4 linked regions of the Pelodiscus sinensis genome follow. The protein of the gene in region 1 interacts with the protein of each later gene in a biochemical or structural test. Links are inferred from orthologs where the notes say so. Each region holds a gene or a part of one and is shown in the gene's direction. Other genes may lie near its edges. The genes, in order: RELA, RXRA, IKBKB and DPF2.

Region 1 (7,054 bases):
GCTGGACGACGCTACATGGGAAAAAGATTCTTGACAACAGAGGGGTTGTTAATGCAGCAGATAAAGCTAGAAGTTGATCCAACTGCTGGATATTCAGGCTAGAAATGACTTGGAAATGCATCTTTAAATCAAGATTAGACATCTCTTTCTAAAAGCTTCACTCTAGCTCAACTCCCAGATCTGTGCTCAATGCAGGAATGTCGGAGATGGAGTCTCAGGCTTAGGTAATGCTGGTGATCAGACTGGATGGTCAATCCTTTTTGGCCTTGGTCTCTATAAACTCTGCATTCTGGTTTGATCTCCCAGGTGAACAAGAATTTAGCAGAATTAGATGGGGGGGGGGGGTCCACGATTCAGAGACGGCACCAGGGTGGGGATGGGGGAAGAGGAACTCTCCTAGAAAAATAAGTTATTGGGATTGTCTGGTTTACAGAGCAGATGAAGAAATGACACATGATAAAAGTATATAGAAAAATGACAGGGATAGAGAATGGGGATGGGCACATCATTTCCATGTCTTGTAGCATAACTGCAATGAAAATTTCAAGAACACTTCAAAACCAATCAAACAACATTCTTTTTCATGTAATACACCACCAGCCTCTGGAACTCACTGGCACTTGACACAGTTAAGTGCAGGATCTCAAAGGAGACTGGAAGCTCATAAGGAGGAGACCATCGAGGGTCAACCCGAAAAAAAGAACAGGAGTTTTGGAAACCTCCCATTTCAAAAGTTAAGCTATCTTCTAAGTATTGGGGGAACCCACCTCCTATCAGGTTATTCCAAAACAATGTAAAAGTTTTTACACGTTCCACTGAAACACTCAGCTGCATGTAACCCAGGTCTGATCTAGTGTGGCAATTAATTCCTATGGCTGTGGTATTGTTTAAGTGGGAACACTTTGAAGAGTATAAATTAAGAATACCCTCTACCAAATCTAGCAGGTGAAATCTCTGCAGAACTTGGGAGGGTGACAATATAGACATATGAGAGATTATTATTTCAATAAAGTGCGTATAGAAAAATACATGATGTTTGCACTAGAATGAGGCATTTTTCATACTAGAGATTTTTTCTCCAACTCTGGCAGTGTTTCAGTAGAACCAACATTTTCTGGGTCAGGAGGTCTCTCCTCTGTGCCTAGCACTGCAGAGTGAGAAAAAATCCTTGCTCACAAGAGCTCACTCCCCAAGTATATTTGAGAGATATACTGGGAGAGAAAAATGCACAAAAATGTACCTTTATATTTGTAGGTACCAAGGGCCACACTCGCAGATCAGCACATCCCTGCAACATGTGTCCACACCAAGGCCAAACTTGATCCTCAATACAGTTATATAGATACCGGAGATCATTCTGATTCTGGGGCAGTGCCCTGGGTATTATCCAGAACAGTGTTTCTCAATCGGTGGTACAAGTATCCTCAGAGGTACTCAAGAGAAGTTTGGGGGTAGATCAACAACTGAAATTTGGAGAAAACTGATTTTTTAAAAAAGTTTTACAGCACTTTATTATTTTTGTATTTTTTACACCCAAAAATTTCATCGCCAGCTAAGCTACGATTAAATTATTTAAACAAATGTGTTGCAATGGTAGAAAACATTGCATGTCTGAAAACTGTAGGTACTCAAGGTACTTATGGTTTTTTTTTTTTTTTTTTAAAGGGGCTACCTTATACAAAAAAAGGTTGAGAAACACTGATCCAGAGTCTCTCCCACCCAAAGTGTGACAGCTCTCGCCTTCAAATGCTGCCCTGGGATCCTTGACCATGACCTGAAATGGAAGGGATTATCCCACAGCTTTGGGGCACTCCCTTTAACCAGGAGATGAGTTGGCAGTTCCAAAATGACAGGCTAACATTTCCCTCCCTAGGGAACCTAAGATGCATCCCAAAAGCATGGCAAGCACTAGAGATGACCAATCATTCCTACAATCTGGGTTCAAAGCCTCTAAAAGGAAAGAGATGCCCAGCTCCACGTGCTTACTGCCCCCCTCACATTCCCTGTTTCCCCCTTTCATAAATGATGCAGCCTTATCCCTTTTTCCAACTGAGGTCCCCCATTGGCCGATTCTTCTATCCTCTGCATTGGGCCCATTTCCTCCTATACACTGGTCTCTTCATTAGCCTTCTGAGACTCCCGCCCGTCCTCCCTTTCCACACGGCCCCGTGTCCCTACGTCTCCCAAGATATCCCCCGTGCCTCTCATATACCCTCTAGCCCCTCCTCTTTAAATCCCACCCCCATCATTTAGCCCCACCCCCTCACTTACGCCATTCATCTTCGTTATCCTGGTTGCGACGCAGCACGGGCAGCCGGCAGCCCTCGGTCACCTCTCCCTGCGGGCGGGATGCAGAACAGTTAAACAGGAACCCACAGGAATCCCCCCGCCGGACCCCACCCTACACATCCCACTCACCACCTCCGCCATCTTGAATGCTCGCCGGCGAGCGGGGTCTTCTCTTCCGTTCCCCGTGCCGGGACGTTTCCGGGAACGCGTGGGGGCCCTTCCGGTCTGTTATAGCTACTTCCGGTCCACTCAGTATATGTTGCTAGCGTTCGGCCCTGCTCAGAATTACTTCCGGCAGCATGATTAACTCCTTCCGGTCCCAGCGAGGACCCGCTCCGGGGCTGTTCGTGGCGTTCGCCTGAATCGGAAAGGAATCTGAGGAGTTGGCGGGACCGCAGTTAGCGGGCGAAGCACGAATGGCGACAGCGGGAGATTGCCCCACGTACGTGCGCAGCTAGCTGGGCGCATGGGAGAAAATCATGTGACTCGGACGTGACGAGGCCTCTGGAGCGTTTAGCCTCACGAGGCCGGTTGAGGGCCCGGCAGCGTTTCGAGGGGTCCCCGAGATTCGGCTTCCCCATCGCCTTCCCTCCCTCCCAGTTTCTAAAACCGCAACCAAGTAGAGGGGGGGCCTTCAGTGGAGCCGCGTGACACGGGCCCCTGGAGCCCTGGGCCCGACAGCTGCTGGGGCCCACAGCCACCTAACTTGTAGTAGCCAGAGACTCGGAGCCAGGGCTCAGGAGTTCAAGCTTCTAACATGTCCACCTGCTTCCCAGCCCTTCCTTATTGACCTCGTATCGCTGCCGGGGCAGGCGAAAAGCACCCTTTCTGTGTCCAGGTAGGAAGCTTAAAGCAGAACTAGGACTAGAGCCCAGCTTTCTAAGTTGGTGTGGCAGCATCTGTCTCCATAGATTTCCAGTAGTTTGCTGTGGCACCACTTGCCTTGCCTCAATGACCCCAGGAATCTTTAATCTTCTTTTAGAGGGCTTTCTAGTTCTGTCTTGTAAATCACCCTCATATCAAGTTCTGACTTAAAGAGGCTGTTAATAGGTAGCCTTTTCTCTATGCTTGCCTAGGATCCCCATGTTGCAAGGTGCTGTAAAAACATAGAACCTGCCTCACAACCTATAAATCCAGAAATGACAGGTGGATACAGCCATGAACAATGAGACAATCTGGTCTGCATGCTGGGCAATGGGTTCACCACCAACAATCTACATGTCATGCTTTTTGAAGCATCCCATCAAAGGATAGTTTGAAGGAGCTCAATGAGATAGCTTTGCATGCACTTACAGGGAACTCATAAACATGAGTGATAGCATAGGAGAAAGGATGAAGAGGCTTAGTAGAAATATAATAAGTATGCAGTAGGGATGTGAGTGTGTATCCAAGTACACGATTAATCAATGAGTCTGGGCTCATTGCTTAACACTGTGTTACACGCCCCCCCCCCTGCTGCCTTTGACACATAGGCAACAGAGGGGGGGAGGAGCCAGCTTTTAAGATGGTTCCCATGTGTACCAGCTCCTGTCAAACCAACCTCCTCCCGCACTGTTGCCTCAGTGGGTGGGAGCTGGTATGTGCAGGTAGCCTAGCCTTCCCCCCCCCCCCCCCCCCGTACTGCTGCCTCCCACAGAGCGGTGGGGGATAAGGAGGAGGTGGGAGCTAGTGCTCACAGGAAGCCTCCTGCCCCCTGCATTGCTTCCTCTGATACAGAGGCAGCAGGGGCGGGGGGGGGGGGCAGTGGGAGGGAGGACAGGAGCTGCTGCTGACGACAGGGACCTGACTTAAAAACCAGCTCCTTGCCAGCACTGGCTTCCGCCTTCCTTCCCACTGCATGTAAATGTGTAGCCACTGGAAAATTCAATGGTTATAGATTTAAAATGTGTTTATTTGTGTAACATCCCTTTTAGGCAGTTAATGCTTGGCAGCATGGGCTGAAAATGAAAATGTATAGGTGCTGGAAGTCAGGGTGCTGCTGCACTCTTTGGCTTGAAGTGGTTTCCATTATGTTTGTGGCTTACAGTTTGGTTCAATGACTCTCAGCACCTTCTTGTAAAAACTGTTCCAGCAGCCCTGTAAGAGATGAGTCAGATGGGGATTGGCAATGGAGGGCCTTGAAAGGGAAGAGAAGCAGCTTAGACTGATACAGGAGAAAAGGGAGGGCCAAGGAAGGGAAGCAAAGAGAAGTATGTCATGCTCAAAGTGAGAGCCTGAAGAATGATATTTGCACCAGAAAGGAAATGAAGCACAATCTCTCCAAGGTTATGTCTACACTGGCGGGTTTTTGCGCAAGAACAGCCATCCTTCCGCAGAGCCTCCACACTGCTCGCCAGCTCTTACACAAGAAGATTTACAGTAAAGTGTGGTAAGAGAGGGCTTCTTGTGCAAGAACTATGCTCTTTTCTAACAAATGTAAGCTCTCTTGCGCAAGAGGGCAGTGCGGACGCCCAGCAGGGGTTTCTTGTGCAAGAAAGCCCTATAGCTAAAATGGCCATCAGAGCTTTCTTGAGCAAGACAGCGTCCACACTGCCATGGATGCTCTTGTGCAAAAGCACATGACAGTGTGGCCGTGTTCTTGTGCAAGAGTTCTAGCACAAGAATCCTTGTGCAAGATGTTCTTGTGCAAGAAGCTGCCAGTGTAGACATAGCCCAAGAATTTGCTGGGGGCAGAGGTAAGGTGATATGGTTGTGTCCTCTTTAAGGGAGGCAGCATGAGTTTATTAGCTAATGGTGCCTATGGTGTCCTATAAACAGGGAACAGAACAACAGTGTTGCTAAGAAATAGCCTTAATGGGCCACCTCTGGGATTTGAATCCCCAAAGGCAACTGCAGGGCCATTTATTCAACCATTTACTGCTGTGGACATTTGGCCTAAAAAACCCAATGGGGAGGCCACAGCAGCTGTAAGACACATGTTTCCTGGTTCCTTTGTGGCCTTCTCATAGCCTATAGGGCACTATAATGTCCATGCACAGCCCCATATGTAGCCTTGTATCACCCCCACTCTGGTCCCTGTATAATGCAGTAGGCCCTACCCTACTCGTAGTATGGTTTATGTCTCATGAATTGGTCCCTCTAGTCAAGGGCTCCATAATGGTCCCGTGTGTGATTCCTGAATGACCCCAGAGCACTCTTGGTTAGGTTCTTAATAGCCCCCACGTTCCCAGCTGCAACATGGCCCCGCCGCCTCTCTTGGCTTTGCAATTTGCCCTGGCTGCCTTCGTCGCTTCTGCGCCTGCGTGGAATCCCCCCCCCCGCGCTCGTTTGCATGAGGCGGGGCTTTCCCAGCAGCGGGGCGGATCACGTGCTGCGGGCATTTCCGCGTGCGGCGTAGTTTGCGAACGGATACGGCGGGTGCTGGACCCGATCCCGCCGGAGGACCCCGCGTGGACCACGCCCCTGGCCCCGCCCCTGACGCGGACCCCCGATTGGGCCCGGAGCACCGCTTCCGCCTAGGAACCCTTCGAGGGGCTGGACCCGCCCACGATTGGACTCGTCTCCCGCCCGGACAAGCTCCTCGGGACGCCCCACCAGCAGCCCTCTCCCGAGTGGGGCTGGGACACGGGGTCGGGATCCCCCTCCCGCCTAGGACCCGCACAGGAGCCACAATCCTCCCGTTCCCTCTCAGAATTCTCTCCGTTGGGGGCCTCGCCCCACAGAGGCCCCCATCCCCTTGGAGTCTAACCCCCCCCCCCCCCCGCCTGCCGTTGTACTGAGACACCCCCCCGAGCTCGCACACGTCCTTCTTGTGGACTGGGGTTTGTTTCCTGAGCCCCGCGCAGGAGCCCTCCCCAGCCTCGTATTCCCTGGATTCTTCTGGCTCCAAAGCTGGGAGCCCCCTTCCTTGACTCCCTCCAGCCAGGGAGCACCCACCGCAGTACCTCCTGTATTCCTAGCCTGGAACCTAGCCTGACTTATGGCAGAAATGGAAGGTAAGTGTATACGCTCACCCCAGCAATAGGGACTTTCCTCAAATTCAGGACCCCCATTTAACTCTGGGGTATCTCTTCTCCTTACCTTCATCTCTGGAGGGTTTGCATGAAATACTCATACAGCGAGTTACTGGGACAGTTGGATGTGTAAACGCAGTTGAGCTCATACAGATGTGAGTGTGGGGGGAGCACCCATTACTGGAGTGCTGGTTATGAATATGGGGGGCTTGAAGAGAAGCTGGGATTCCCCAGGAGTCTGGGTTTCCCCCACTTTGTCCCTTCTCCCCCCACCCCACCCATTATTTCCTCAACTGGGCCTCTGTTTTGTTTTGGAAAAGTATTGTGATGGTGGCTTGTGAAAACTGCTTCCTAGGCCTTGGTTGGCAGTGATTTCCCTGGTTGCTTTGGGGGTAAGGCAGGCACAGTGGATTTGGGATCTGAAATGTGGGAAAAGGAGAAGAGGGGGAATTGGTGTCTCTTAAGAAAGGCCAACACACTGGGAAAAACACAGGTGGCAGGATCCTTCAGACTGGAGGAAGGGCTGGGCTTGAGCTGACTGGACATTACACCATGGAAATGGCATCTCTGACTTGATGTTTTGGGCCTGTAACCATTAACACCTAGTTCTTATGTAGTGTGGCACTTTCCATATTATCCCATAACCCAGAGCTCTTCTGTCCCGCCACATCTGGGGCGGAAATACAGACACACAGTAAATTACTAAAACCGGAAGTGGTTTGTTTGTTATGTGTTTTAGACTTGAGGAACTCAATTTGTTTAGCCTAACAAAGAGAAGGGGTGATTTGATCAGACTATGGATAATTACCAGA
Region 2 (7,403 bases), on another chromosome or scaffold:
ACTTGCAAATGAAGCCCAGGATTTGAATTTCCCGGGCTTCATTTGCATAAGCGGGGCGCCGCCATTTTTAAAACCCCGCTCGTTTGAACCCCGTGCAGCGCGGCTACACGGGGCACGAACTAGGTAGTTCGAACTAGGCTTCCATGAGGAGTAACGGTAGTTCGAACTAGGAAGCCTAGTTCAAACTACCTAGTTCGTGCCCCGTGTAGCCGCGCTGCACGGGGTTCGAACCAGCGGGGTTTTAAAAATGGCGGCTCCCCGCTTATGCAAATGAAGCCCGGGAAATTCAAATCCCGGGCTTCATTTGCAAGTGCGGTATGCCTACATTACCCCGCTAGTTCGAACTAGCGGGGTAGTGTAGACATACCCACAGAGCAGAATTTGGCTCCATCTACACACTCATGTACATTTAACTCGCTCATTCCAAGGAGAGAGGTTTTCTGGCAATATTCCCTCTAATTTTTTCCATCTATGTGCAGATTGTTTCCATCCATGTGTGAAATAAGTTTTTCTACATGCACCCAGACACATGAAAATGTGCACCACCAGTAGAAATAAAACCTAGCGGTGAGTGGTCTGCTAATCAGTTGGGTGGCATTTGAATCTCTCCTGTGTACCCACACAAGTGCTCAGCTTACAGGAAACACTGTTCGCTGGCCCTGTAAATGAATACATCCCGTTAGATTTGTGCATTGAAAATCAATTGATTATAGTTCATTTCAGATTTGCTGAAGCTGATGTTTGCCCTTGCATTGTTGGATGTCACACATATGCATGTATTACATGTCTGACTTCCACACCGCTGCAAGGTAGCGAGAAAAGCTGGATCTGCTCCCCTCTAATAAGCCCACTCCCATTTGTTAGGATTTTTTTCCAGGCGTTAATATAACAAACTCAGCCATAAAAATTGACTGGGAGATGAAACGTGACATGCAAGGTCCTAGCCTGGGAGCAAATGATGTTACCAGTTATAAATGCACGCACACCAATCTGGTTGGACATGCTTAACTTACGGAGCAAAGGAGAAAAAGGAGGATGCTGTTCTATTTTGTTTTTATGTCTACATCTCCTAATGAGCGTCAGGCTTCAGTGAGGCCATCCTTCTGGCATTTTTCATTCCTTTTGCAACATGTATCTGTGCAAGGGGCATAAAGGGGGCCCTGTTCTGTTCGCAGTACCAGAGCTTGTTCCAACAGAGATCAATGTTCTCTCTAATTTTTTTCCATCCATGTGCAGAATAATTTTTTATGTGCACCAAGGCATGTGCAGATGTGCACCTAGGGTTGCCAGGTGTCTGGTATTGAACCGGAAAGTCCGTTATTTTCGCCTCCTGTCTGGTAAAAAAAGTTCAGAAAATACCAGACATCTGAAATATTGGATACTTTCTGATTTTTTCCCGGCCAGGAGGCGAAAATCCCAGGCTTAATACAGAGGCAGTCTGGCAACCCTAGTGCTTACCGGGTTCTGCAGGGTAGCTGTCCGGCCCGGCGCAGGGAAGCAAGACGGCAGAAGGCCGCCAGCAGCCAGTTAGGGCCAAAAAGCCTCACCACATAGATTTTAAAGGGGCCAGGGTTTTTTTTTTCTCGACAAACTTTTTCCTGGTGGTTTTTTTTGTTTTGTTTGGTATTTTTTCTGAAACCATCTGGCAACCCTATGTGCACCACCAATATAAACATATGTTGCTGACTGTGGGCGTTCTGCTAATCAACTGGGCAGTATTTGAATCTCTCCTGGATGGCTGTCCTAGAGCACAGCTAACAGGGAACATGGATGGGGTCCTGGGTATGAGCAGCAGTTTGCCTCTCTAGTAGCCCTAGAGGTGTAATCACAAGCAAGTCCTGCCCTTTGGATAGAAAGGAGGGTAAGTGCCTGTCCCCTGACACACAGGCATGCTCAAAAGTTTGCAGGAGGAGCTGTTAGCCTGATAAATTACTCTAGACTTTCTCTAGCCTTGTCTAGAAGGGCTCGGATACCACAATGATGGGCACAAGATAGACAGACAGACATGCCCTGGCAGCAGCAACCATCCACGTGCGCCTTTTCCTAATTTTAGACTAACAATTTCATCTATCCCTCCAAAAACTCAAGGCCTGTTCCTCAATGCCTCCCACCCCCACAGTCCTTGTTCCCACGGGTACTCCCTTCTTCTTCAATGGGACTGGTCAAGAGTTGCCCTATTGGGATTCCCTGGTGTCCTACTGGGATTGCTCTGGAAAATTGTCGCCCAAAGGCACCTGAGTTCATACAGCCTCATGATCAGTCTAACACCACACCAGACTCCCTGAGCTATCATGGCAGCTGTTCCAGGCCTTGTCCCCACAGTCGGAGTGCAACTCCAGCTCACAAACCTGCCGGTTACACATGCTATGGTTGTCCAGACTGCGGGTGGGTAAGATGCTAACTTTGCTTCCCACACCGTCCAGCCTTTCCGGTCCATCAAGTTACAAATGCGTATTCTCGACAGGGCTGAGCACCATTTCTCAAAGCTGGAAACACCCCGGTGTGCTGGGCACGTTGCACAGACCGTTCAAACCAGAAGACGGTCCGGGGAGGAGCAGGGGGTTGCACCCGCGAGGCCGTGGGGGTGACACGTGGGCATGTGAGCTCTCAGGGAAGTCGCACGCCAAGTTACTGACTTGTATCTTTTTTATAGGAAATGAACTAAATCCTGTTTCAGTTGCAGGAGGGTCAGACGAGACCAGGGCTGAGACACGGCATGGGGGCTGGATCCGTCCCACCAGGTGCAGCCCGTGGCTATAGGCAGACTCGGCCACCGCTTAGGGCACCGCCGCCCGGGACGCCCAATGATGACGTCACAGGGGCGCCCACCAATGACGTCAGTCCATTCACGGCCCTGCAGGCGGGGGCACTGATCGTGCGTTCCGCCTGGGGCACCAGCTGCCACAGCCGGCCTCGGGCTGCTCCTGTGTCCCACCTGACACTTTCATCCACCCCTGGACAGCATCTGGCCACTTTCTATTGATATGCTGTTGCCAGTGCCACTGAATTTTCAGGCGGTGGCTCAGGCAGCAGGATCCTATTTAAATGGTTCATGACTTCACGTCGCGGCAGGGACCAGAGCTGCGAGTCCTTTAAATAGCCACAGCAATCCCAGGCAGCTGCCAGGCAATGCGGTAGCAGCAGGACCACGAGTCCCGAGCCCTTTGCTGTGTTTTTAATTCAAAGCCTTCAGCCCCAGACAACTTGGGGAGGGAGGGGGGAGGAGGCTAGTCCCTAGACCCGCTCCTTGCGCTCCAGGCCCCGCCCCTTCTTGGGGGAGGAGGTGGGCGGCGACCACATACCAAAATTCATTAAGTGGTCCCCCGCCATCGCCCACCCCTGGATTAGAGGATCAAGCCTGACCCTTCTGACCTAAAGGTCTGTAAGACACCAGAGAAAAGGGAAGAGCCACTTGGAGTCAGAATTCGCCCGTGGCTCAGGTTGCCAGGTGTCCGCTTTTGAACTGGACAGTCCAGTATTTGAGCTTTCTGCTCGGGACACAAATTGAGACAATAGAAATGAGAAAATAGAACTGTCCGGTATTTTCTAAATAAGACGGAATGTAGATTGTGATGTCATATCAAGTGTGTCCGGTATTTTTGTTGAAACCATCTGGCAACCCTACTCGCGGCTCTTTCCAGAGCGACACAAGTTCCTTCGTGCCTCCTTAAATTTGCATTTGGTGACTCGTGTCAGTTACCTAGACGGGGGTTTTGTAACATGTGTCTGTGGTAAATTGATGGATCATTCCAACACGTGATAGGCAGGCCAGCAGATCTAGCCTATTTATCCACCCACCAATTTTCCCTCTAAGGCAGAGAGACTTTCGCAGCCAGGAATAGGAACATTCCAGCCTCCCAGGACATTAATTCCTGAGGCAGCTTTGGAAAATCTCAGCCTAACGGGCCCCATCTTCCCTCTTCTACTCTCAGAAGTAATTCCTTTCTTTTTCCTGGCTCTGCTCAGCCGCCTTCCCTGTAAGTCCCCCACTTACAAAAGTTTTACGACTTGGACCAGTCCTTCTACCACCCATGAAAGCCCCCCCAAAGTACTGAATGGCATCACTTCAGCAAGAGCCCTGACGGGGTACCACTCCCACCTGCATCCTCAATTACCTTTACCTGTGAAGCTCTGAGATGGGCCTTTTCCCCTGCATGTGCTCTTAACCTGTATCGTCCCATGGCGCCCTGCAGCGTGATTTGCATGCAATTTCCCTATGCTCGTTCGGATCCTAAGCCAGCTTCTGAAAGCAGCCCCCTCTTCAAAGCCACCCGCCTCCCCCTCCCGGCCGCCCTCGAGAAAACTAGTTGGTGCAGGCTCCCAGCTGGCCGTGCCGTCGCTGCGACCAGGTTGGCCCTCCCGCTCCCCCTTGGCTGGGTCCCCTTTGCATTGCAGCTCCTGTAGTTGGAATAGAGAGACACAGAGACACAAGTACTTTAGTTACATTGTTGGGTGAGTTTGAAACAACTCCCCCTGCCTCGGGCTTACACACACTGTGACTGGATTTCCTATTCCACCCGCTCCGGTGCTGCGTGCCTTCTGCTGCTGCTTATTTTTAAATCAATGCAAAGCTGCGGGCTTTGATTTTTTTTCCCTCCCCCCTCTTTTTTTTTTACACCCCCCTCCCTTCTCTCGTTTGCTTTGATTTCTGCGCGCGCGTGTGTTTTGCCTCCACCGATCTTCAACAAATCGTTTGGGCATGAGTTAAACACCCGATATGGACACCAAACATTTCCTGCCACTGGGTGAGTTTTGTTGCAAAGGGTTCTCCGCGCAGACGGCGCTAGATATTCGGATTGAAATGCTATGGCTTGCTGGGGGAGGGCGGGGGCAGAGGGCAAGCGTGCAAAGGACAGACGATCGGCCGGGAGAAGTGGAGCAGGGCGGGGGTGTGGAGGGGGGGGGCATGAAAAAGTGGCTTTATTGCAACGCGGATGGTTTGATCCGGGACACCCCCTATGCCCCCTTTTCCACGAACCATTGCAGGAAGTCAGGCTGGCTGGAGAAAGCTTGTTTCGTGCATGGACTGGGAGGCATTGCTGGGGGGGGACGCTGCAGCGCGGGGACTTGTTTGTCAGTTTCGCCGCCTGCCCTAGACAGCGCCGATCCCTTGTGGATTTGGCCTGTTCCCTCTTGGCGAGTCCCAATTTTGGTAGATGCGCGTCTGGATTATTATTTTTTTTTGTTTGTTTTCTCCCTTCCCCTGCAACGTGTCGAGCGAGCGTCATTGTGTTTTGCAGATGGAGACCACAGATCAAACTACTGTTGAGGAAGGAGGGAAGGGGGGGGGGTTGATTTTTTTGAAAGTGCTGCGAGCTTTGGGCTGGAAATACGTGCGCGCTGCTTCGTGGCCGGAGGGTTGGGGAGAGGGCCCGGGATGGGCCGCGGCGTGGGGGGGGGGGGGGGGTCGCGGGGAGGAAAAGAAGGGAGCTCGGACACGCTGGAGACATTTTTTTTGCGCGGGGCGGGGGTTGGGGGGCGCAAAATGCGCGCGCGCGCAAGAGCGAGCGAGATCCGCTAAGGGACTTGGCACGGCGGCGAGCGCTATTTTCAAACGTGGGACTCGCAGCCAGGCACTCAAAAAAGAATTAAAAGTTTGCTCTTCGAGTGGCCCCGATCGTCAGGCACAGAACCCCCGTCCCTGGTCCACTGACCTAGACAAAAGCAATTCTGGAATGGAAACGGGGTGTTAAGTGAGATTTTGAAGGGTGCGCCCACTCCGGACAGGTCTTGGTTTGTTTTGCACAACCGGCTTTGGCTGTGCCTTGCATTGCTCTGAATGCTCTGTTTTATTCCTGGAGCAGTGGCTGACATGTGGCAAAACCCCTTTGCTTTGTATTTATGTACTTGTTTGTTTGTTTCCTTCTCCTCTCCCCCCCTTCTCCAGCCCTTGCCTTCCTCTGTAGGCATTTGCCGTGTGCAGTCTGGCAGAGATAAATGTAATTGCTGGGGTTAAAGGTGCCTGCCTGTAATACATTGACCGCCAAGTGTTGATCCAAAAGATGTATTTCAGGGGCATCTTTCTTCTTTTTCCAGAAAGAGGTGTCACCCCAGACAGGTTCTGTGTTGGCTCTTTGGGTTTGTTTTATTGTGTTTTCAATTCCCCCCCCCCCTCCCAGCGTGACTTTGCCAACCTTTCAGTAAGGGAATCAAGTCTTGGCTTGAAAGGGGAAAAGCTTCCTTGTCTCTTGATTTCCAAAAAGTGCCGTTGTTTTGCGCTTACCCTACAGGCCAGCGTTTAAAATCCAACAAATCTGGGAGAATAACTGTGAGCAACAAGGGGCAGGAAAATTCGCAGCTCAGATAAAGGGCCCAATCCTGCTGTCACTGAGATCCCAGGCAAGATCAGTCGCTAAATTCCATCTCCCCTTTTTACCCCGGTATATTGGTGGGGGGCTAAGGCTGGCCAGACATGCGACATGAGTTACAGACTTGTAGCCCGTGGCAGGACAGGAAGAGCAGCCTGCTAGTGCTAGCCTGAACTCTGACGTCCCTTGGTTTTGCTTGGTTCCTTCATATCAGTGCACTAAACCCCTTTTAAAAGAGTGGTGGTTTTCATTCATGCAGAGTCCATTTTTTTAATGGCCGAATAAACAACAGCAACAAAAAAAATGCACCTTCCCAAATGGACACCAAAGAGTTTCTGTGACTTCAGCAGCGGTGCCTGTGCTCAGTCCTGGGTCCCTTGGACATGAGACGGTCCTAAAAACCATTGTGGTTTTATTGCCACATGCAATTGATTTTGATGGGAGATGAAAAGGCCCCCAAAGTGCTCAAGTGGTTTTTCCAAGTGGAAATCTCTCCTCTGCCGCTTGACACTCACAACATCTTTTTTTTTTTCAGTCTAACGGATTTATTTTTTATTGCCGTTATTTCGGGTGGCTCAAACAAAAACATCGGAAGCCGTTAAAAATCATGTTCTGCCGACTGCTGCGTCGCTGTATCTCTGCCTTCCCCACCAAATGCCTTAATTTTATTTGCAGCTTTGTACTTTATTCACGCTTTACACTGGGAACAACGTAGGCACTGAAGACAAAGGCAAAACCTCCCCTGACTTCCTAAATCTTATACTTGGGGGTTCGACAGTACCTGAGGTATTTTGATGGCTGGGCACTATATACATTTAACCAAATGTAGCATTAACAGACATTTGATCTTGGGGAGACGAAATGTGCATATCCAGGCTGATAAAGGATTTTTTCCTGGGTGCAAATGAAGAAAAAAAAAAGCTGATTTAAAACTCATTTATAAACGATGGGAGCAGGGCCTGGTTTGCTTCTGTGGAAATTTGCAACACACATTTCAGCCCATCAGGAGCTGAAGCATTCGGAGGAGAGCAGCAGTGTTAGCGTAACACATCCACGGACCCCGAAGGGGAGAAAATAAAAACAAGCCGTGACTGC
Region 3 (8,005 bases), on another chromosome or scaffold:
TGAGTTCTCTGTAGGGCCACATGGGGCAGTTTCACTGCCTCTTTTTGGGGCTAGGATCAGAGCTGCCCCAGAGCTGAGCAGGGTTTCTACGGGCTGCCCCTTTAGCTGGTTTCTTTCTACTCTCTGTGCACATCAAGTTTGTTTGGTTTTCCCTGTGCACTTTGGCTTGTTCTTGGCAGTGATGCAGCTCCTTAGTTATGTACCACACAGACCTCTCTTCCTCACCTCTTCAGCTCAGCACAGCCTGCCCCTGTTACTGAGTGGATGGTAAGTCTGCCAACGTAGGAAGTGCAACAGGGCACTTATCTCAACTGCCGTAAGAAACAACACGCAGAGATGAGGGATGGACCAGCTGTTTCCCAAACACACAATAAACAGGTTCTAACATTTTAGCTAATTTCCCAGCTTCAGCTCACCTCTGTCTTTGTGTGGTAACTGTTGTCTTTCACATTCCCTGTCCCTGGCGTACACCCCTTCTGCCAATCAGATAACTCCAACATCAGCCATGATGACGAAGAGAGCGGCTGAGACAAAACACTGTGTGTTAGGTTTCTTTCAGGAAAGGACGTTTTGTGATTAAAGAAATGCAGATTTCCAAGATTAATGTGCCAATAACTAATGAATCTCTGTGCGTCTGAGAGTTGCATCATGGAGTGGTAACAAGCCATTGGGAGTTACAGAAAGACTCATGCATGCTGGGGTGAGAGAGCTTCACTTTTATCAGTGACTGTCAGGCTAGGTAAGGACCAGTCAAAGCACATTTAGGCTGTGTCTACACTGGGAAGGTTTGGCGACAAAAGTGAAAACCAGTCAAACTTTTTTCTGCCTCCCATTGTCAACATCCCATGGCCACATTTCTAACATTGTCAGCAGATAGACGGAGCTGGGTCCTTTTTGCTCAGGGAGAGCTTTGCTCAAAAGCCTTTCCATGCTGCAATACCCTTGCTTCCCTACTTGTCCCTTCTCTGGCAGCTCTGGTAAAACGCCCACCTTGCTGTGCATTATGACCAATGCCGGCCGGAGCCATTCTTCGTGCCCTGGGCAGACATTATAATTGTGCCCGGGGCCCCGCCCCTGCCCCCGGCTGGCCTGGCAGCACCGCGCGGTGCCCCTTACAATCACATGCCCTGGGCTAGGGCCCGGTCTGCCCATAGCTTGGGCCGGCTCTGATTACGACCTTGCATATTTTCAGTTTCCTTTATAGAAATTTCCTTTGTATTATGCTGTTTCTTGTCAGCTGACAGGGCCCATTGCCCAGTGTTGTGTGTTCTTTAAAGAGGCTTTTGTAATACATACAAACAAGGGGGCCATGTTCCTGTTGATACTGGAACCTTAAGTGTGAATTTCCTGACTCCTGTTCAAGTGAAATGTGAATCTTAAATTTGCAAAGGTCTGACCCTGAGATGTGCTGGGCCCAGTGGGCCCTCACTGCCTTCCATAAAGAGTGTCTCTCAGAACCTTCTCTGGTTGGGACGGAGTATTTTGGGTCTGTGGAATGTATCCATTCTCAGTAAAGAACCTGTGTGTCTACACGTTCACATCCCTAGTGTCCAGAAGGGAACAACATATCAGGCTATTAAAAGGCGCTTTGGACAAGGGTCATACCAGATTGCTGAAATGTCTGGTAAATAATTAGTAAATCTTACACTCCTTGGGGAATTTCCAGCCCATTGTATGTCAGAGGAAATGCAAAGTTACAGTAATGTGCTCTCTCCTGAGCCTGCAGGTTGGACCCATCCCTCCTGAGAAAATCCACTCTGCCACTTCCATCCCCGTAGACATATTTTCCCATTAATATCTTAGGCATTTGCACTTTCACTCTAGGTGTTGATCGGGTAGCTGGCTCCTAGGCTGTACCTCAAATGGCATTGGTACCATTTGGAATTCACTATCTCCTTGGACAGCAGAAGCTGACAATGGAGAAGATTATCCTACTTGGCGAGCACAAGCCAAAGAGATGATGGAAGACAATGAGATTTCTGACAAAGTTAAAAGAAGCCCACTTGTAACTGACAGCAGGCAGATTTGAATCTGGGATCTCAGGAGCTTAGGGTGTGTCTAGACTACATGCCTCCGTCGACGGAGGCATGTAGATTAGCCAGATCGGCAGAGGGAAATGAAGCCGCGATTAAAATAATTGCAGCTTCATTTAAATTTAAATGGCTGCCCCGCTCTGCCGATCAGCTGTTTGTTGGCAGATCGGGGCAGTCTGGACGCGCCGCGCCGACAAAGAAGCCTTTCTTGATCGGCACAGGTAAACCTGGTTTCACGAGGCATACCTGTGCCGATCAAGAAAGGCTTCTTTGTCGGCGCGTCGCGTCCAGACTGCCCCGATCTGCCGACAAACAGCTGATCGGCAGAGCGGGGCAGCCATTTAAATTTAAATGAAGCCGCGATTATTTTAATCGCGGCTTCATTTCCCTCTGCCGATCTGGCTAATCTACATGCCTCCGTCGACGGAGGCATGTAGTTTAGACATACCCTTAGTGTCTACAATTTGAGCTATAAAACCACCGGGCTCTCGGCTTAGGTTGTAGAGCGCCCTTGTTCTTCACTCTTGCTGTAAGTGGTCTAAGAACCACTATGGGACAGTGAACCTTACTAAGTGTGGGGGTTATACCTGCTTCTGATCTAGATCAGGTTGAGCCTGACCCATTTGGTGAACTTGGAGATCCCACGTGTGGGCCTATTCCTGAGAACGTGGGGCTACTGCTGTGCTTTAAGATTTAATGTGGATGCTGCCAAGGCAATGATAACAGCTGGTTCAAATTGCTTCAGATCAGAATGTTCAATGCTAGACCCTTCCATCCACTAACAGTCAGTGGAAACAAGATGTGGAGAAATTGGAGAGGGTCCAGAGAAGAGAAAGAAAAATGATTAAAAGTCTAGAGAACATGACCTAGGAGGGAAGACTGAAAGAATTGGGCTTGTTTAGTTTAGAAAAGAGAAGGCTGAGAGGGAACATGAGAGCAGTTTTCAAGTATCTAAAAGGGTGTTACAAGGAGGAGGGAGAAAAATTGTTCTCCTTGAGCTCTGATGATAGGTCAAGAAGCAAGGGGCTTAAATTGCAGTAAGGGAGGTTTAGGTTGGACATTAGGAAAAAGTTCCTACCTGTCAGGGTGGCTAAACACTGGAATAAATTGCCCAGGGGGGTTGTGGAATCTCCACCACTGGAGATATTTATGAGCAGGTTAGACAGACACCTGTCAGGGATGATTTAGATAGTGTTTAGTCCTGCCTGAGGGCAGGGGACTGGCTCTTGAGGTCCCTTCCAATTCTATGATTCTATGAATAGTAATCTAGGGTATGTCTACACTGCCACCCTAGTTCAAACTAGAGTGGCTAATGTAGGCATTCAAAGTTGCAAATGAAGCCCGGGATTTAAATATCCTGGGCTTCATCTGCATCTTGCCAGGCATCGCCATTTTTAAATCCCCCTTAGTGCGGACTCCGTGCCCGCGGCTACACACGGCATGGAGTAGGTAGTTCGAATTAGAGAGCCTAATTAGCCTAATTAGGCTATCTAATTCGAACTGCCGTTACTCCTCGGGGAACGAGGGGGAGGTGGAGGACAACTGGAGGCTGGAGGATCAGTGTTGGGGTGAAGGGAAACGGTGCAGGGGGGCAGCTGGAGCTCATAGGCAGCTGGGCTGCCTCACAGGAGCAAGTGGCGCAAACAGCCATTTGGGCTCCGTGCTCCCCATGCAGGAGGAAGAGAAAAGAAAGAGAGAGTGAGAGGCAGGAGGAGGAGGAGAAGAGAGAATGAGAGGTAGCAAGGGGAGAAGAGAAAGAGAGTGAGAGGCAAGAGGGGAAGAAGAGAAAGAGAGACGGAGAGAGAGGCAGGAGACAGAGGAGAGCTGAGAGAGAGAGGGGGGAGGCAGTAGGAGGAGGGGGGAGAAAGAGAGATGGAGTGAGAGACTGGTGGCTCAGGAGAGAAGACTGAGATAGAAAGGGAATAGTATGTGGAGGACAGACCTGAAAATCCCGTTTTATGATGGGCTAATTGGCTAGTTGCAGAATACCCAACGCAAAAATTCACTGGCTCATTGGAGGCTCTCCACAATCTAACCAGTGACTCTGTTCACTGGCTGGAGAGCATGGACGTCCAACTTTGATGAAGAAATACAGTGTTGACCACGGCATTCGAAAGAAGAAGACTGCCATAGAGATTCTATGAAACATTTTGGTTCATTTAAGTTTTTTACTTCATTTGATTCTACATTTTCTTTCATGTATAGTGCCGCTCCTCCACCAGGTGACCTGCTCTGTCCTTCCGATATATTTTGTACCCTGGTATGACTGTCCCATTGATTGTCCTCATTCCACCAAGTTTCCAGGATGCCTATTATATCAATATCCTCCTTTAAAATGATGCACTCTAGTTCATCACCTTATTATTTAGACTTCTAGCATTTGTGTATAAGCACTTTAAACATTTGTCACTCTTTGTCTGCCATTTCCTGATGTGTTCTTCTGATCTGACCCATACTTCCATCTTCTGTTCCTGACTAGAACACAGAGAATCTCTATTAACAGCCCCTCCCCTAAGCGATGTCTCTGTCTGATCCATGTGCTCTTCTGCACCGTCAGCTTCCCCCCAGCCCTTAGTTTAAAAACTGTTCTACAAACTTTTTAATGTTAAGTGCCAGCAATCTGGTTCCATCTAGGTTTTGGGGGAGCCCATCCTTCCTGTATAGGCTCCCCCTATCCCAAAAGTTTCCCCAGTTCCTAATAAATCTAAACCCCTCCTCTCTACACCATCATCTCATCCAGGCATTGAGACTCAACGCACCGGCCCTGCTCAGTATGATCTGTGGTACCCAGGCCTCCAGTTCAGTAGGGCCTGATGCTGCATAAGCAGCGTCCCGGGGAAGAGCCAGTCCCACCCCCTGCCCCGCGGGGCGGCGGAGCGAGGCTTGTTCGGGGCGAGCGCTCGGTGCGGGCCGGGCTCTCGCCGCAGCGCTGCGAGCTGCCGCCTGCCCCGCGGACCCAGAACGCGCCGAGGGCGCCGGGGCGGGGCCAGGCACGTGACGCATCGCGGGCCCGGGGAGCCGGAGCCTGCTGCCGCCAGGGGCGCGCGCGGCCTGTTCCCGGGGCCGCCGAGCCGGAAGCGCCGGGCAGCCCCAGCCCCGCAGCATGAGCCGGGCCCCGCTGCAGAGCCCGGCCTGCGGGCCCTGGGAGATGAAGGAGCGGCTCGGCACGGGCGGCTTCGGCAACGTCCTCCGGTGGCACAACAAGGTACCGCGCCCGCCGGCCCCCGGGCCCCCCCGGGCCGCCCCCGGCACCCCCCGGGCCGCCCCCGGCATCCCCGGCCCCCCCCCCGCGCCGCCCCCGGCCCCCCCCCCGCGCCGCCCCCGGCCCCCCCCCGGGCCGCCCCTGGCATCCCCGGCCCCCCCGCGCCGCCCCCGGCACCCCCGGCCCCCCCCGGGCCGCCCCTGGCATCCCCGGCCCCCCCGCGCCGCCCCCGGCACCCCCGGCCCCCCCGCGCCGCCCCTGGCATCCCCGGCCCCCCGCCCGTGCGGCGGCACCTCCCCTCGCCTCTCACCGCCCGCCCGGCCTGTCCCCTCTGCCTGCAGGAGAGCGGCGAGCAGATCGCGATCAAACAGTGTCGGCAGGAGCTGAGCCTGCGGAACCGCGAGCGGTGGTGTCTGGAGATACAGATCATGAAGAGGTGAGCCTGCCCCGGCCCGCAGTCTGAGTGCGGGGGGCGGGGGGCGGGGGAGCCGCTCTCAAGCACTCGGAAGTGGAAGTCTGACTCCACGGACTGCTCCCCAGACGGGATCTGTTCTGCTAGGAGTCGGTGCTGCCGCCTTTTATTTACCCCTTCTGTTTGTTTCATTGGAAATAAAGATGAGTAATTTGCTGCTGCTTCTGCAGAGACAGTGGGAAAACAAAGGTGCTTATGCTATTGTGATGGGGCGTGATCAGAGAAGTCCCCCTCATATAGGTCCCCATGAGCTGATCATGCCACTGATGCCCCCTCTTGCTCTCTGGGGCTCCCCACCACCCTGTCCTGCTGGGCCAAATCCTCCCGTCTCCTTCCGACAAGGCAAAGAGTTGGGGTAACTGCTCCCCTGCAGAAGAATGCAGACACTGAACCACGTCAGCTCTGGGAGGACTCAATTCTGCAACTCAGCACCCAAGAAACTACCACTCCAAAAGGGATCAAAACTCCGAATAGAGCTGTCTTCCTGAGTGTAAAAGTTTTACACAAGGAAAGCTTAGTCTGCAGAAGCGAAGAGCAAGGGGGGATTTGATAGCAGCCTTCAACTTCCTGAAGGGAGGTTCCAAAGAGTAGTGATGGATGACAGAACAAGGAGCAATGGCCTCCAGTTACAATGTGGGAGGTCTAGGTGGGATATTAAAAAATTAATGGAGATTGCCTATCTCCTAGAACTGGAAGGGAGGTCATTGAGTCCAGTCCCCTACCTTCACAGCAGGACCAAGTACCATCACTGATGACTATTTGCCCCAAATCCTTACATGGCCTCTACAAGGATTGAACTCACAACCCTGGGTTTAGCAGGCCAATGCTCAAACCACCAGCTATCCCTCCCCAAAGCTGGGAAAAACTATTTCCCTAGGAGGGTGGTGAAGCATTGGAATGGGCTCCCTAGGGAGGTGGTGGAATCTCCATCTCTAGTGGTTTTTAAGTCTTGGCTTGACAAAGCCCTGGCTGGGTTGATTTAGTTAGGATTGAGCTTGCCTTGGGCAGGGAGCTGGTCTTGATGACCTCCTGAGGTCTCTTCCAGCTCTAGGATTCTGTGAAAGCTCACAAGGATGTTAACCCTCTTTATTCAATGAGAGAGAGAGAGAGATACACATAGTGGTTTGCTCCCCCCAAGTAGCAATTATTTACACTGGGCCTGATAATAAAAAAACACTTTTGTTTACATGCTACTTTCTGTACTTACTAAGTGGCTGCAAGTGAAAACATATCAAAGTAAGTTACTAAATTAAAATGAAAAGTCTCAGAGGGGCAGCCCTATTAGTCTGTAACTTTAAAATTGAGTAATCCTGTGGCATTTTAGAGACTAACAAAAAATACACAGTATCATGAGCTTTCATGGGCAAAACCCCCTTCATCAGATGAATAAAAAGCATACAGCTAGTTCTAATCTGCTAAGAAACTTGTTACATGCAACTTCTTACCCATGCGTAATGCAGGAAAGGCCTTCCCAAAACTGCCTACACTCTCCAGCCACCCAGGAAGTTTGGGGCTGGGGCTTCCTGTGGACAGGGGTTTCTCTGGATGAGAGCAGCTCCTGTCCACGGTAAGGATGTTAAAGACTAGTTGATTATCCGATAAGCATTTGCTTATCGGATAGTTAGTTGACTAGTTGATCCCCCCCCCTTGCTTCCGCAGCAAAAGGGAGGAGGGAAGAGGGGGTGCTTCAAGGGGCAGCACCTCACAGTTGATCCCTGGCTGACCTTGGGTTCTGGGGAAGTGCCGGATGGAACCCTTGGTCAGCTGGGGATTTCCCAGCTGACCCTGGGCTCTGCATGGCATTTCAAATCAGCAGCATGGAGCCCAGGGTCAGCGGGGGACCCCAGACTCCATGCTGCACTGCTGCTTTGAAATGCACAGGGGCCCCCTCTGGGGACTCTTGTACATTTCAAAGTAGGAATGCAGAAGTGCCTGTTGACTAGTTGATAGAAATTCGATTGACTACTCGACCAGTAAATTAACCGCAATTTGACATCCTTAGTCCATGGTGGGCCCCCTGTGGGACTGGAGCGGGGGGGGGGGGGGGGGAGTGTGCCAGACCCCACCGGTTAACCAGGTAATCTTTCAGATAAGAACGGCCACACTGGGTCAGACCAAAGGTCCATCCAGCCCAGTATCCTGTCTGCCGACAGTGGACAATGCCAGGTGTCCCAGAGGGAGTGAACTGAACAGATAATGATCAAACCACGTCTCTCCTGCCAGCCATCTCCATCCTCTGACAAACAGAGGCTAGGGACACTATTCCTTACCCCAGTGGTCCCCAACCATTGGAGGTTG
Region 4 (6,933 bases), about 1.7 Mb from region 1:
ACTTTTCGGGCTTGGGCGTAGCCTGGGCTTTGTGAAGTGGGAAAGTACCAGAGCCTGGGCTCTGCCCCAAACACCTCTCAAAGAAGTGGGTTGTGCCCACAAAAGCTCATGATACCATCTATAAAATGCTGCAGGACTATTCGTTGTTTTTAAGAGGGGTTTTTTTTCGGTTACAGACTAAAACGGCTACCCCTCTGAAACCATGACATTTCAACAGCCCCATAGCTTGTGTCAGCTGCCAGCTATGGTTGTCTAACTGCAGTGTAGACTTGGTGAGTAATGTCAAAGCACCATTTTCCCCCAATGGGAAATACTTTGAGATGCTTGCATGACAACACTCCAGGCAGACAAAGGATCATTATCGGTCACCATGTTCTGCCCTGGCAGACACTCTGGTCTGTGTCCCAGCAGCTATACTGAGCAGCATCTTTGCTGCAGCAGATGGCACCCGTATTTTGTAACAACACAAGCAATGGGATAGGTGCTCCTGCGACTTCCTTTGGCAGCCCTGTAAATTATTGGTTTGGATAGAGAGACAAATTCACAGCACAGATAATCTCGTTTACAGGCTTTTATTTTAAATTATCTGTCTGGCTGGATGGGCAGTGTGAGAAAACAATCAGCATTTGTAACAAATGTTTAATTGGACAGAGTGGCTGATATAAACCTCACAGGAACCTCCAAAGTGTTTTTTGCACTGTGTGAGTCTGCCAACATGTAGAAACCCAGCAAGACACAGTACCTTGGGACTGTGTGGAGTGTCTGTTTGCCAACTTTCTGATGCCTTTATCGCTTCAGAAAAGTGTCACGTTTGCCAGGAGTAAAACAAACAGCATCTTCTCCTTGGAGTGATTTGTGGCCCTGCATAAATAAATGTGGTTTGGGGCTTTTTAGAGGTAATGTTTTCAAGAATTGAACTAGGAGGGTTAGAAATGTCCTTTTAAAAAAATGAAATGTGAGAGTCTTGTGTAATCACATGACTAGAGAAATAGGCTTTAAGGAAAACATCCCATTTTTCAAGTTTTGCAATAAAATTATTAAGAGCTGGCAGCTCTCAGTGACCCTGATTCTAGTGTCCACATTTTAAAAAGGAAGTTGGAATATTGGAGAAGGTCCAGAAAAGAGGCGCACAACTGATTTGAGGGCTATAGACACTTCCTGCCAAGGAGAGACTGAAAGAACTCAATGCGTTTATCAAAAAGGTGGCTTGATTACAGTGTGACATAGGTAGGAAACATCAGAGTACCAAGTGGCTTCTTAGCCAAGCTGAAAAGGCAGAACAAGAACCAATGGCTGGAAGCTCAAGTCAAACAAACTCAAATTAGAAATTAGGCACAATTAACCACAAAAGGTGATTGGAACAAAGTCCAGGACCGGATTGAGCAGGGGGGCTAGCTGGGCAGCTGCCTGGGGTGCCAACCTTTGGGGGGCACCTGATTGAAGTGGTAAGGGGTGCGGTGCGCCCGGGGGTGTGGCCGCGCATGTGCCGCTCGCCTGGGAGCACGACGCCCCTTACCATGTCAATTAGGTGACTCGTGCCCGGGGGTAGGGCGCGCGTGTGCCGCGCACCTGCTGCCCGGGGCGCAAGTATGGCTCGGTCTGGCACTGACAAAGTCCCATGGGATGTGTCTGCAAATCCAGACTGGATGCCTTTCGAGAAGATGGCGTATAGCCTCTTAAATTATGCTTTAGTCAAAAACCAGATCCTGGGCTCACCGCAGGAGTAGGTGAGGGACATTGACTGGCCTGTGATGTACAGGAGGTCAGACTGAAACTCTATGAATTTATGAAAATTCCAGTGTAGATGTTTAGGGTCTCCAGGTGTCCGGTTTTAAACCGGACAGTCCAGTATTTGAGCTTTCTGTTTGGGAAACAAATTGAGAGAATATAAATGAGAAAATATAAATGTCCAGTATTTTCTAAATAAGATGTAATGTAGATTGTGATGTAATGTCAAGTGTGTCCGATATTTTTGTTGAAACCATCTGGCAACTCTGTAGATGTTACATTTTTCTTCTGTTCATCTTCTTCTAGTCCATCCATTTTGTACACCTCTGTTTTCCTCTAATAACCTAACGTGTTGCTAATGACAAAAAGTAAGAACATTCTTCTTAAAATCCTCAACTAAAGTAGATCAGACGCCATTGGCCTGAATTATAATTTACAGCAACTAAGGATCTGGTACAGAGTTTTAATCTCCCAGCCCTGGTCTACATTAGGGAGTTACTTAGAAATAACTCTTCTTATTTTGAAATAATAAGTGGAGCGTTCACGCTATTAAGTCCGTTATTTTGAAATAAGTCTGGTTATTTTGAAATACTAACTCCTGCTTTCCATGAGGATTGATGCTTATTTCAAAATAGATATTTCGAAATAGCAGTAGGGACGCTCCACTGTTGCTATTTTGAAATATCTACTTCCCAGTCATTCAAAGTAATTATTCCCCAGTGCTTCGTGGGCCTCTAAGTCAAGGTAGCACATCCACATTAACGGAGCCTGCCTCGGACTAATTTTGAGGCTTCCTCATAGCGTGGACATGCTATTTCGAAATTATTATTTTGGGAGTTTAATTTGAAATAACTTATTTTGAAATAATTTCCTATTGTAGACATGCCCCCAGAGCCTCTGTTAGGCCTACACAAGAAGAAATCTCATAGGGCTAGTTCAACGGTTTATCCAAATGGGTGCATCACCAAACCTTTATCAGTGCATCTTCTTTATGCAGATAAACTGTTTAATGCTGATGAAGATGGAGATACAATATGAGTTTTTAATGTAAATAAATACTCAGGCTATTTCCAGCTGGGGTTGGCAAAGGCTCAACTTAAATACAATCTTTCGAGCAGCTTGTCCAGTGAAAGTTGGCCGAGAAATTACAGAGATGTCAGGCATACTGATTTATACTTTTTATTTAGCTAGATGACTAATTTGCTTAGCTCTGTGCACTGGATCCCTAGAGAATCCATGCACTCTGGGTCTGATCCAAAGCCTCTTGAAGTCAATGGAAACACTCAGCAGGCATATTGGGTCAAGCACTTCATGCATAAACCATGCATTTTGTTCTTTGAGACTCAGCACTTTTTATGCTGTGGCAATCTGTGCATTTTGTTAACTGAGGGTGCATGCATTTTGCAGTGTTGAAAAACTCTTGTGATTTGTTCACGATTCTTGTGATTTTGGTGGTTTCCCTAAAGTCACATTGACTGGAATCAAGAGAATGCGTGAGAATCTCAGCTTCCATTAAGAAGAATAAAAGGTAAGTGTCTAACCCTAATGGCTGTAGAGAAGTTGGAAATGAGAGCATCTGAAATATTCAGAATGCAGAAGGTAAATTTTAAAAAAATTGCAATTAATTTTTAAAAGAATCTCATGATTTTCAAGACAGTCTCATAATTCTGACTCTCAAATTTCTGAACACCTAAGTGATTTAGGAGCAGAAGTGACATTGAATGGCAATGGGACTGTGTTCCTAAATTACTTAGGGACCTCTTAAAGTCCATCTCTTACCCACAAGCCATGCATTTCATACACAGGGACTCCATACTCTTGTACAGAGTTTAGGCACAGGGCCAATCTTTTCCCTTAATTCCCAGGGGATCTGCCTTTTATGTACAGAAATTGAAATTCTTTTGGGAAGAATTTTCAAAGGCATCTAAATCACTTAGCAGCAAAGTCCCATTGACGTTCAACAGGATGCATGCTCCTAAGTCACTTATGAGCTTTTGAAAATTGTATCTTTTATCTAGGCATCTTATTCACGCTCTCTCCACGCCTTTTTATCCAGAGACGATCTATGGATACTATGCACAGATAAACCATGCTCCTTAGATATACGGAAAACTAGCCTTCAATCCCAGGAGGAAGCTCCTACATTTCCTCTTGCATCTTGTGCACGATCCGTCCCCGTGGACGCCGGGGGCACTGGTCATTCTAGGCATGCAGCTGACGCCGCCCTCTGAGAATGCGGGAAAGAGGAGGGCAAGTTTCACCACTAAACAGTCCGCCCCCGTTTGCAGCCCTTTCTGGACGGGCAGCCCAAAGCCTGCCCTAGCGCGCTCCACGAATCAGTCTGCCCGCTCGCTGGGGCTGGCTCGTGCACTTGGCCCGGGGAGGAGTTTGCAGGCCGCTTCTCCGGCGGGCTGCAGTGCAGCTCTAGCATTGGCCCGCGCGGCAGCGCGGAGGAGGGGGGGCAGCCCTTGGTGCGCTGGCTCGAGGAGCAGGGTGGGGAAGGAAGAGCCCGGCTGCCGCTCACTCGGTCGCTGGCTGCAGCTCGGAGCAGGAGTCCCCCCGCCAGCGCCGCCGGGGCAGAGGGTGAGCCGGGAAGGGGGGGGGGGTAGGGAGTGGCTGCGCGGGGCGGTCGGTGCTTGGCGGTGCCGCCTAACCCACCGCAGCAGTTTCACTTGCCAAGGAGCTCGAAGCTGGCGGAGAGTCGGGACTCCTGGGTTCTGCTCCCGAGGCGCGAGTCGGGTCAGGACGCTTGGGCTCCGGTCTCTCTCGTGAGAGGGGAGTGGGGTCGAGCGGTTAGAGCAGAGTGGGGCTGGGAGGCAGGACTCCTGGGTTCCTTTCCCGTCTGTGGGAGGCAGGACAGGCACTGCAATGGCTCCCTGGGGTGGGGGCGGGGGTGTGGTAGTGGCATATTTTCCTTTGCCTCAGTTTCCCTGTTTGTCAGGGTGCGACCATGAGGCCCAGAATGTTTGAGCGTTGTTTTCAGTACCTAGAAAGCGTCAGAGTCTTAGCTCTGGGGGCCAGGAGGGCAGCCTTTTCCTGCTCTGCAGGCTGGTCGCTGCTACCACTTTTCTTCCTTGTTGAAGGCAGCGGGCTTGGCACTGAAATGGGATCCCCTCCTGTCTCATTCCAGCTGTTCACTGCCAGGGGATTTGATTCCAAGGGTGTGTGTGTGAAATCTGTAATCAGTAAAACTTGTGAAGTTGGCTCTTTGGGCTTGCAACAAGAGGGATGGGGGGAAATTAATGCTCTCACATTTTAAACCAAGCTGTGGGTGTCTGGAACTGCCTTTTACATTTGGAGCTGGACTTCAGGGTATCATTTACCCATCATCGTCTATATAAAGCTCTGCTGGTCCCCAGGAGGGTTTGTTTTACACCTATATTATATGTCTCCATCTAGCACTATCTACATCTGGCACCATCTACATCCAGCAACATGTCTTACATAATTTTAGAAACCAACTGTGAAGTTTATAATTAACTATCTTTAGAATATCTTTGGCAAACTGAGATGCTTGAATAGATGTCATGTTCCAGATGAGGGGATAAAGGGCTGATTCTTACATTAGACCTCTTGACACCAGCAGAGCAATAAGAGCCTTGGGGTAAATGAGAAGCAGGCAGGGTATGGCGATAGCTGGGTAACCACACAGATGTTCCACTTAGTTCTTTCTATGTAAATCTAGAGTAATTCCATGGGACCCCATTTACTCTTTTGTTCCTGAGAGCAGAATCTAGCCCAATGTAAGAATATTGAAATTACCATCAGGTCCAGGATCCTGCCTCTACATTGCCCAGTTCCTGCTGCTTCAGGGGAAGATGCAAGAAATTTGTAGAAGACAAATATGAGGTTACTTGGCCCAAAGGGAAACTTCCATCTCACCCCAAAAGGTAGGTCAAAGTACCTGGATCAACCCAGACAGCTGTTTTTGTCATCTGCTCTTAAAAATCTGCAGTGGTGGAGATTCCTTAGTTTCCCTGGGTCATTTATTCCAATGCTTAACTAATGTGACAGGAAGTTTTTCCTAATGTCCAATTTAAACCACTCTTGCTGCCATTTAAGCCCACTACCTCTTTTAAAGTATTTGTTACATTATTATTTATATTTCAGTAGCAACTTGAGACCCTAACAGAGAATGGGATCCTACTGTGCCTGGCACTGTACAGACAGATATTGACCCTGCTCCAAAAAGTATACCATGTAAACCCACAGAGCAGATAAAAGGTGTTAGTGGAAACAGTGAACTGGCAAAGGGAGGGGAAGAGCCTAGAACCCATTTTTTTCTGATGCTCAGCCACATCTTAGCCACTAACCTGCATTACTTTCTTCTTACAGGAGCTTCAGGGGGTAGCTGAGTTAGTTTGTTACAGAAGAAAACAACAAATGGTCTGGTAGCACTTTATAGACATGTTTTGTTAGTCTGTAAAATGCTACCAAACCATTTGTTGTTTTCTTCTTACAGTTAGACTCGTTTTATGGGTTCAGAAGTTTGGTCCTACCTTTACCTTCTTTAGTTTCCCCCGTGTTCTTGGATGATTCTCTCCTCTCCAACTGGCCAAGGCAAGGAGCAAGTTCAAATGCTGCACGGTGTCACTGGCGTTCTGTAACTTAGCCAGCAGCAGGTGCTTGCCATAGGAATACCTGCCACTAGCCTGACTTTGCACTGCCTGGCACCTAGATATCGCAGGTATGCTGGCACATTATTGGCTACTAACAAAGCTAATATCTTGGGCGTCCTGGAATAAAGAACTTCTTAAGGTTGGCCTTGCTCCCAAAGCCCATCTGCTTTGCTATGCCAATCCCTCCCCATCGCACTGTGCTGCTAGGCTAATATGGTCTCTCGTGGCATTTTTGTAACTGCAGGTTGAACCTCTCTAGTCCGGCACCTCTCTGTTCCGGCAGCATCCGTGATCTGGGATGATTTTAGTTAGCCCCGTGTTCACTTATCATGGGTGTGTGGCTAAGTTTCCCACGGTCCCATAAAGTTTGTTTACGGCCACCACAGTCCTGGCTTCCAGTGTTCTGTGCTGTTACTTAGCTCTAATTTACTCTTAAATGTCTTCTAGAGCCCAGTAAGCAGTGGAATTGTTGGTAATGCTGCTAGACAATATTGTCCTCTGATGATCAGGCAAATTCTCTGGTTTGGCACCAGTCAGATCGCAACGGTGCTGGACTAGAGAGGTTCAACCTGTAATGATCTGTCAG

The links.
Region 2: the proteins of RELA (region 1) and RXRA form a complex in vitro, tested with the Homo sapiens proteins (2 studies listed by BioGRID). The link is inferred for Pelodiscus sinensis from reciprocal best matches to the Homo sapiens genes RELA and RXRA.
Region 3: of the proteins of RELA (region 1) and IKBKB, one has a biochemical effect on the other in vitro, tested with the Homo sapiens proteins (4 studies listed by BioGRID and IntAct). The link is inferred for Pelodiscus sinensis from reciprocal best matches to the Homo sapiens genes RELA and IKBKB.
Region 4: the proteins of RELA (region 1) and DPF2 form a complex in vitro, tested with the Homo sapiens proteins (2 studies listed by BioGRID). The link is inferred for Pelodiscus sinensis from reciprocal best matches to the Homo sapiens genes RELA and DPF2.

The regions. Positions count from the first base shown.
Region 1 is NC_134721.1:32,635,332-32,642,385, reverse strand, and holds the start of RELA (transcription factor p65), read left to right. Parts: upstream 1-4,040; 5' UTR 4,041-6,208; coding exon 6,209-6,224; intron 6,225-7,054. Other genes in the region: histone acetyltransferase KAT5, read right to left, coding at 2,272-2,338, 2,419-2,430. UniProt on the Homo sapiens protein: NF-kappa-B is a pleiotropic transcription factor present in almost all cell types and is the endpoint of a series of signal transduction events that are initiated by a vast array of stimuli related to many biological processes such as inflammation, immunity, differentiation, cell growth, tumorigenesis and apoptosis.
Region 2 is NC_134732.1:18,238,528-18,245,930, forward strand, and holds the start of RXRA (retinoic acid receptor RXR-alpha), read left to right. Parts: upstream 1-4,391; 5' UTR 4,392-4,717; coding exon 4,718-4,745; intron 4,746-5,447; exon of another isoform or gene 5,448-7,403. UniProt on the Homo sapiens protein: Receptor for retinoic acid that acts as a transcription factor.
Region 3 is NW_027465860.1:407,401-415,405, reverse strand, and holds the start of IKBKB (inhibitor of nuclear factor kappa-B kinase subunit beta), read left to right. Parts: upstream 1-4,991; 5' UTR 4,992-5,136; coding exon 5,137-5,238; intron 5,239-5,545; exon of another isoform or gene 5,546-5,576; coding exon 5,577-5,671; exon of another isoform or gene 5,672-5,685; intron 5,686-8,005.
Region 4 is NC_134721.1:34,379,276-34,386,208, reverse strand, and holds the start of DPF2 (zinc finger protein ubi-d4), read left to right. Parts: upstream 1-3,921; 5' UTR 3,922-3,936; coding exon 3,937-4,311; intron 4,312-5,496; coding exon 5,497-5,618; intron 5,619-6,933. UniProt on the Homo sapiens protein: Plays an active role in transcriptional regulation by binding modified histones H3 and H4. Is a negative regulator of myeloid differentiation of hematopoietic progenitor cells. Might also have a role in the development and maturation of lymphoid cells.